Macaca fascicularis: one gene and its partner. The protein of the gene in region 1 binds, or shares a complex with, the protein of each later gene. Links are inferred from orthologs where the notes say so. Each region holds a gene or a part of one and is shown on either strand. Other genes may lie near its edges.

The links.
Region 2: the proteins of KDM4A (region 1) and H1-4 are in contact, whole or in part, in a crystal structure (PDB 6H8P), measured with the Homo sapiens proteins. The link is inferred for Macaca fascicularis from reciprocal best matches to the Homo sapiens genes KDM4A and H1-4. Residues at the interface, in NP_055478.2 of Homo sapiens: Ile71, Asn86, Ala134, Asp135, Asn137, Thr167, Ile168, Glu169, Gly170, Val171, Tyr175, Tyr177, Glu190, Asp191, Ser196, His240, Lys241, Ser288, Thr289, Asn290, Asp311, Met312, Val313; in NP_005312.1 of Homo sapiens: Ala24, Arg25, Lys26, Ser27, Ala28, Gly29.

What each region holds. Positions count from the first base shown.
Region 1 is NC_088375.1:191,079,373-191,083,180, forward strand, and holds part of KDM4A (lysine-specific demethylase 4A), read right to left. Parts: intron 2,337-3,808; coding exon 2,132-2,336; intron 1,684-2,131; coding exon 1,607-1,683; intron 922-1,606; coding exon 866-921; intron 1-865. UniProt on the Homo sapiens protein: Histone demethylase that specifically demethylates 'Lys-9' and 'Lys-36' residues of histone H3, thereby playing a central role in histone code. Does not demethylate histone H3 'Lys-4', H3 'Lys-27' nor H4 'Lys-20'.
Region 2 is NC_088378.1:146,774,780-146,778,980, reverse strand, and holds the start of H1-4 (histone H1.4), read left to right. Parts: upstream 1-1,392; 5' UTR 1,393-1,455; coding exon 1,456-2,115; 3' UTR 2,116-3,150; coding exon of another isoform or gene 3,151-3,531; 3' UTR 3,532-3,540; intron 3,541-3,837; exon of another isoform or gene 3,838-4,201. Other genes in the region: histone H2B type 1-M, read left to right, coding at 3,151-3,531. UniProt on the Homo sapiens protein: Histone H1 protein binds to linker DNA between nucleosomes forming the macromolecular structure known as the chromatin fiber. Histones H1 are necessary for the condensation of nucleosome chains into higher-order structured fibers.

The DNA of each region.
Region 1 (3,808 bases):
AAGTAAGAATGTTCCCAGCACTATCCTGTGATTGTGAGGAACACAATGACCTCAAATAATGGCAGCAAGTGCCTCTGAAGGAGCAGAAGCAGCAAGCAGAGTAGCCATCTCTCAGGGACAGCATGACAGGGACTCTTGAGGGCAGGCGGCTGGACTGAACATGTGCTGCAAGTTGCCACGGGATTCTACTTAAAAGCAGGATACTCAGCACTGACCTGCATGCACCATGCCCTAAACAGCCAGCTCTTCCAGGTCAGAAACCTCATTCATCTTACATTTCCACCTCAGAGCAACCAAGCACATGTCTAAGCACAAAGATTCACTCCATAAAAATGAGCTGTCCAACAGCTGAGAAGCCCAGAAACTTCAGTAGATTTGGTTCCATAGTGGGTGGGCCTGTCTGAGCTCTCCTCAGTGTCGCCCTTGAGCACACTCGCCTCATTCCAAATACCAGGTCTGAGCCAGGGAGTTTGCCACGTGGAGAAGTGCTTGCTAGCCTGTGGCCGCCTCTGCGCACCAGCGCCAGCTGTGACAAGGTGAATGTCCTCACTCCAGCCCACACAGTCCCTGCGCATCACCTTCACAGCCTTCATATTCTCATGAGTCCATTCTTAGCGCCTCCAAAGGAGGATGTCACTGACATCTCTGCTGCAGAGGAGCAGCTAGAGTTGGAAAGTCTGAGACTGCTTGGCTCCCTTAGCATTCCATTTTTAAAATGAGTCTTGGAGATGCTATTCCAGCTCCACACGATGTGCTTCCCAAATCCTCATCAGTCATTCAGAAGAACAGCTAGTGCCCTCACAAAGACACTGTGTGCTTCAGAACTTGAGCCTGTGCATTCCAAGGCACTGCTCAGGAAACTTACCTGTCATCATTTGCTCTCTGCAGGGCCCCTCCTCGTAATGAGCATAAACAGCAGTCCTGCCAAGAAAGGAGAGGGAGGAAAAAGTGGTTAACACCAAGTCATTAACATTCAATCTGCTCTCCCCTGGACCTGCTTTGGGCAACTCCTCCACATAAGAAAGCAGCATAATAGCATGTGGGGCTTCACCCAGGCAGCCCCTGCACCAGGACGCCCTGTCGGAAGGAGAGGCCACTCAGGGCTAAAGTGTGCCAAGTATTCGCATGACTTCATATAATCCTCCTCACTGTTTACTGCTAATAACAACTCTTAGCAAAGTCATGAAAGATACTTTGCTCAAACTAGAGGCACGACAGGGATCTGACTGCTTCTTTTGTGGGCTAGGTACAGCCAGGTTCCAGGGGTACAGTGAAGAGAAAACTGCACAATGAATCATCTGAGCCCCTTTCTGAGGCTCCAACTCAAAATGGCTAAATTCTTTTAAGGGAGTTATTGTTCTTCCTACAGGAAGACCACTAGTTGGTCTTCACATAATGGAGCTAACACAGCGTCCAGACTCCGTTAAGTGGGCAGCAACCGCTCTCACTGTCATAGGATTTACTCTCACAATACTTGCTCTCTGACATCGCCGCGTACCAGACCCTATGCAGACTGCTGGGAATACTGAGTCTGACATGAAATCGTACAGCCCTGAATATGCACCAAGACTTACGGTGAAGACAGTAACCATGTGGGATCACTCACCTCCTCTAGGGCATTGGCTGAACAGCGAGAACACATCCAGTCTTCAGAAGCCTTTGCAGGGGGGACCCCATAGCAACCTAACAGGGACACCAAGATGAGCAAATTAAACCCAATGGTCAGAGTCAAAAGGGAGATTTGCAATTCCTTTCCATATACCACCTCCCAAAGCTACAACCAAATCTCACAGAAACCCCTTAGTTTTCTTTAGTCTGAGTCCCCAGGGCTCAGGCATATAGTATGGCTCAAAGTCTCAAAAAGTCAGAAACTGTAGATTCACTGGTACAAACACCTAGTAAGTGGCAGGGACTAATCCCTTTCTGCTATCTGCAACCAAGAGGATGGCACAGAGATGCCTAGTGCCAGTATGGACCCCTGGAGACACAGAAAAAATCCACTAGCAACAGACTCTCCCAATAAAACATCAACAATCTTTTAGGGGCCGGGAGGCCAGGAGGTAGCAAGAACGTCCAGCGGGCAGGCCCATACTCTTGGGACAGGACACACAGAAAGGTGAGCAGCACTCACTGGCATGGACCCGGACGCTGCACTTCTTGCAGGAAACCAGTATGCTGGTGCCATCCTCCTCAAGGTAGGGAGTAGAAAGGTTGATGTCCGTGCTGCAGCCAGTCGAAGTGAAACACATTTCCGGAATCAATGGCTTGGTCCTCTGCTTCTGGGGGGCTAAATCTGAAGCATTTCCACAATTCTGAGTAAAGCCTCCAAACTCAACCTAAGGGGAAAGAACAAGTGTACACCTCAGTGAGCACATGCCTGTGCTCTTAGCCTTCCACCTGCTCTATCAGCAGAAAGCTGGCTCTCTTACCGATCTGACTATGGCTACAGCTCCCGGGTGCACAGCCATTATCCCGGAGCTGCTAATTGAAGTTACCTCTAATGACTCAAATTCAATTTCTCACAGCAGCATCATACAAAGACCCCTAGGGGACAGCTGAGAAAAGGGAGCAAGGTAAGAGGCAACTGGGATTTCAATCTTCCCAAAGCAAGTGGTAATAAAATGCAGAGAGGCCAGGCGAGGTGGCTCACGCCTGTAATCCCAGCACTTCGGGAGGCCAAGGCAGGTGGATCACCAGAGGTCAGGAGTTTGAGACCAGCCTGGCCAACATGGTGAAACCCCATCTCTACTAAAAATACAAAAATTAGCTGGGCGTGGTGGCACATGCCTGTAGTCCCAGCTATTTGGGAGGCTGAGGCAGGAGAATCGCTTGAACTGGGGAGGCAGAGGTTGCGGTGAGCCGAGATCACACCACTGCACTCCAGCCTGGGTAACAGACTGAGACTCCATCTTTTTTTAAAAAAAAAAAAAAAAAAAAAAAAAAAAGCACTGAAATGTTAGCAGCTAGGCTGCTACTGTGGGCTCCCTTATGTGCTACACCGTGCAGTGACCCCACCCGGGGAGTGTACCCAGAGCAGATGCTCCTAATAGGCCAGCACTAATTGCCTCTTGTGGTACCTGTTAGCAGGTCACCTGAACTACAGCACTGTTACATGGCTGGAGCCCCACCTGTGTGATTCCTGGCTCAGGGTCCCTCCAGGAAGAACTTATATCCACATACTTCCCTTGGCAAACTATACTGATTGCAAATATCTGCTGGATGGCACTTGCATCCCCATTCCAAGGATGAGGCCCAGAAAGATGTCAACCCCAGAGCCTATGCCATTTGTGAAACTCCTACTTAGTAGATCTGCTTATAGTAAGAACCCAGCCATTCACTCCCCTCATAGGCAAAGGCTTTGGTTTTGCTTTTTGTCAATGGAAAGATTTAGCGAGTTCCTAATCCAAAGTGTGTTGGTCTGAGGTTCTATTTTCAGCAAGCATGAATCGGGGGCCCTGCCAGCCTCAGCAGTAGCCATGCTACTTTAACCACCAGATCAAGTTAAGGACCACTTATCTACCTGCCATGCTGTGCAGGTCCCAGCTGAGACTGAGCTTGTCCCCTGGCACCTGCTGCTGTGAATGCCTTCCTGGCATCCTAGAGCTGGACCCAAAGAGATCTATCAGTGAATCCATAGATGCCCCAGAGTATGAAGCACACAGCTGAGCTCAGCAGTCTTGCCTCCCAGTCCCTCCTCACATATCGGGCCCTTGCTTCTACCCCTCCCAAGTTCCTTCTGCTACTGGCAACACCCTCTGTGGCAATGGGAAAAGAAAAACAACATTAGAGGATCTGGCTTTTTAGCTGA
Region 2 (4,201 bases), on another chromosome or scaffold:
ATAAGTGGCTTGTAGTTCCACCCATACTGTTCCAGCCATACCGTTATTCAGAAATAATTCTTTTAGTTGGGCTTTCATTGCCAACCTACATACACTCTTCTTGGTTGGGCAACTACCTAAAGAGATTTACTCAGACATTGTTCAAAGGATGTTTTCAGAGGGCAATGATTTATAATAGCTTAGATAGACTCTCAAAGCTCTGCTTCTGAGATCGAAATTTGAACTTGTCATTTAATCACTACATGTCACTTATTTTTCTTTCTATTGCGCTCTGCGAAGCGTTGGGATACAGTCTTCAGGGGGATTGAAACCATACATGGTGAGTGGACTAGTCATTCCTCAACTATTCAGTAATAATAGCGGCTGGGCTTCTCTAATAATGGGAGTACATATGTTTCAATATACAGTTCTTATTTATTTTCCCTTATTATCAATGTTTGAATTCCAGCTCTAAGCTACTTTATTGCAATTTGGTTCTGAAGCATATGCCAAAAGCACTCAGCAAGGCTGCAGACAAATGCTTTAAAGAAAAGTGCACCTCCACTTCCAGTGACTTTATGAACATCACATTCGAAAATTAATCTTTTTTCAACTCTGTACCCTGAGTATATTTTGGACTTCCCTTCGTTCCCAAATACCCTGAATTCAAGGTATCTCAATCCATGGAGCAGTTGTCCAGAGAAGAGAGAAGCAACAGCCCCGCCCCCAACCCTTGGGAGCAGAAAGGGAAAGAATTATCCAAAGGAATTGTTTTAAAACTCAGATATAGCGGACAGATGTAAAACCACGGCTGCATAGATTGATGTCCCAGGGGTCCAAAACTTAATGTCAAATGAGGAATAATTTGTTTAGCATTAAACTAAACCAGTTTGATGAACTCAAATGCCCTCGGCTCAATAGGCAGGACTCTCCGAGGAGCCTGTGTTACTTCCCTCACTTAAGTGCAGATTTGTAATAAAAATCTTAATGCCAGTGGCATGCTTTTTGGATATATCAGAAGCTAACCACTTGGAGAATCATATTTGAGAGGTCAGAAAACTCCACAGTTAAAGATCGGTTTATAATTTACGAAGAAAATAGAAAGTTTTGTTTCTCTGAGTTGAAATTTGCCAAGCACGGCGGGAAATATTGCAAGTTTTTGGCACAAGGCTTTGTGCTTTCCTCATAATTTGAGATCTGCGTGAAGCCTGAGGGTTCGGGGATCATTATCTGAGAAAAACCGGGTAGTTCGGTGCAGACAATTTTTATATTTTTGGCTTTTTTTGAGGTGTAACAAACACAACTCGGGATCCGAGAGGACACTCTGCGGCTGCCAGCGAGGCGGGCTGGACAGCGCACCAATCACGGCGCAGCTCCGCCCTATATAAACGGGCGGGCGCAGCGCCGCGGCCCGAGTCCCGGCCAGTGCCTCTGCTTCCGGCTCGAATTGCTCTCTCTCTCACGCCTGCCTTCAACATGTCCGAGACTGCGCCTGCCGCGCCCGCTGCTCCGGCCCCTGCCGAGAAAACACCCGTGAAGAAGAAGGCTCGCAAGTCCGCAGGTGCGGCTAAGCGCAAAGCGTCTGGGCCCCCCGTGTCCGAGCTCATTACTAAGGCTGTTGCCGCCTCCAAGGAGCGCAGCGGTGTATCTTTGGCCGCTCTCAAGAAAGCGCTGGCAGCCGCTGGCTATGACGTGGAGAAGAACAACAGCCGCATCAAGCTGGGTCTCAAGAGCCTGGTGAGCAAGGGCACTCTGGTGCAGACCAAGGGCACCGGCGCATCGGGTTCTTTCAAACTCAACAAGAAGGCGGCCTCCGGGGAAGCCAAGCCTAAAGCTAAAAAGGCAGGCGCGGCCAAAGCCAAGAAGCCTACAGGAGCGGCGAAGAAGCCCAAGAAGGCGACGGGGGCAGCCACCCCTAAGAAGAGCGCCAAGAAGACCCCAAAGAAGGCGAAGAAGCCGGCTGCGGCTGCTGGAGCCAAAAAAGCGAAAAGCCCGAAAAAGGCTAAAGCAGCCAAGCCAAAAAAAGCGCCCAAGAGCCCAGCGAAGGCCAAAGCAGTGAAACCCAAGGCGGCTAAACCAAAGACCGCCAAGCCCAAGGCAGCCAAGCCAAAGAAGGCGGCAGCCAAGAAAAAGTAGGAAGTTCCTTTGGCCAACTGCTTAGAAGCTCAACACAACCCAAAGGCTCTTTTCAGAGCCACCCACCGCTTTCAGTAAAAGAGCTGTTACACTATCAGGGGGTGTGGCCGGGAAAACGCCGCTATTGAGGGGCGGGTCTCCCGGGAACAAAGTCGGGAGAGAGGAGCCGTTTTTGGCCAGGGGGTCATTTCTCGTTCCGTCGGCCAAGCAGGAGTGCAGCCGCGTCATTGAGCTTTTATTGCGTTTTCGAATACTGGAGTTAAAACCCATTTCGACCTCCGTAGTACTTAACACTTAGCGAGATCTGGCCTGCAAATAGCATGGGAAAAAAAGTCGGGATTTTCCCGGGCTTCTAGGCTGGGACGTATGAGTTCCGAATAGAGAACACTCAATTTCCGTGCTGGCTCCCTACAGACTATGGCAAGCAATGGAGTGCAGAGGAGTACGTCTCGACACAGGTGGCATAGTACACTATTTCAACCACTGCCACAACTAAAAATTAGAAATTGACACTGCAGAAAATACGTGGTCCTTAAATGTAGCATTTGCATAGATGAAGGACTTCCCAAACGCAAAACTGCCAGACTTCCAGGGATATCCCAATTACCATGACTTCTGTATGCAACGAGTCCTATAATTTGTTAGAGGAAGAAAAGAGAACGTGAGCTCTCCTAAAGTATCTTTCAGTATACGTTCTGACACCACAACGCTAATAAAAAGTGTGATCTCAAAAACAACTGCTCCAAGAGAAGTGCACAGCTGACTTGTCTAAAGACGACTATTTATAGTAGCCTCGGGTAGTCTGGTCTGGGCTTTCTGATTGGGTAAAAGTAAAGTAATGAAATAGCCAATGAAAAGGTAGACTTTTAAGTGTCGTTTACATTGGCATTTGTGACGACACACAAAAATTAATCCAATCATAAACGAAATCTGATTAACCTCATTTGAATACCGCATCTATAAATGAACGGGGCATCGGTGGGAGTGATTATTTTCTCAGGTGTTTGCGACAGTGTTGTAATTATTAACGTTGCTATGCCTGAGCCTACCAAGTCTGCTCCTGCCCCAAAGAAGGGCTCCAAGAAGGCGGTGACTAAGGCGCAGAAGAAGGACGGGAAGAAGCGCAAGCGCAGCCGCAAAGAGAGCTATTCCGTGTATGTGTACAAGGTGCTGAAGCAGGTCCACCCCGACACCGGCATCTCTTCCAAGGCTATGGGGATCATGAATTCCTTCGTCAACGACATCTTCGAGCGCATCGCCGGCGAGGCTTCCCGCCTGGCGCACTACAACAAGCGCTCGACCATCACTTCCAGGGAGATCCAGACGGCCGTGCGCCTGCTGCTTCCGGGGGAGCTGGCCAAGCACGCCGTGTCGGAGGGCACCAAGGCCGTCACCAAGTACACCAGTTCCAAGTAACTTTGCCAAGTAAGCATCTTTACACCTAATCCCAAAGGCTCTTTTAAGAGCCACGCATGTTTTCAGTAAATGAGTTGTAATTTCATTCAAAAGGGGGATTATTGGATTTCTCAGCACCATACTACCAATCTTTAATGTTATGTTAGTACTGCAGAGGAAATACTTGGAAATTATAGGTAGTAACAATAGGTACCAGAAGTTGAGTGCTATGGGCACATACTAGATCATTAGCTCATTTAGTGTCAGATAACACTAACATAAACTGAAAGTACTGTAAGTGTACAGCTCTTTCGTTTCCGTGTGCAGATTTCCAAGTTGATCGTGATGTTGATCTGGGACTTCGTGTGGTGACGGCCCACCCTGAGCACAAAAGAGCACCCTTTTGCAACTTCCTTCTGTTTGGAGCTTTCTCCACCATCACCCCCGCCCCCCGTTTTCTTGTAAAATTTTTACCATGCAGATACGTGATAACTGCAAGTAAAGGCTGAAGACAATGTGAGCTGAACACGGAAGTATTACAAAGGTTTCTGGTTTGCTTTGTAATTGGGCCAGTTTCTCTCTGAAGCTCTTAGGCGAGTAGGGGAGGAAAAGGCGGATCCTAGGCGCTGAGGTGCAGGAAAAAAGAAGCAACTTCTGAGACACCTTAAAATTATTTTGCTAAACCGTCTTT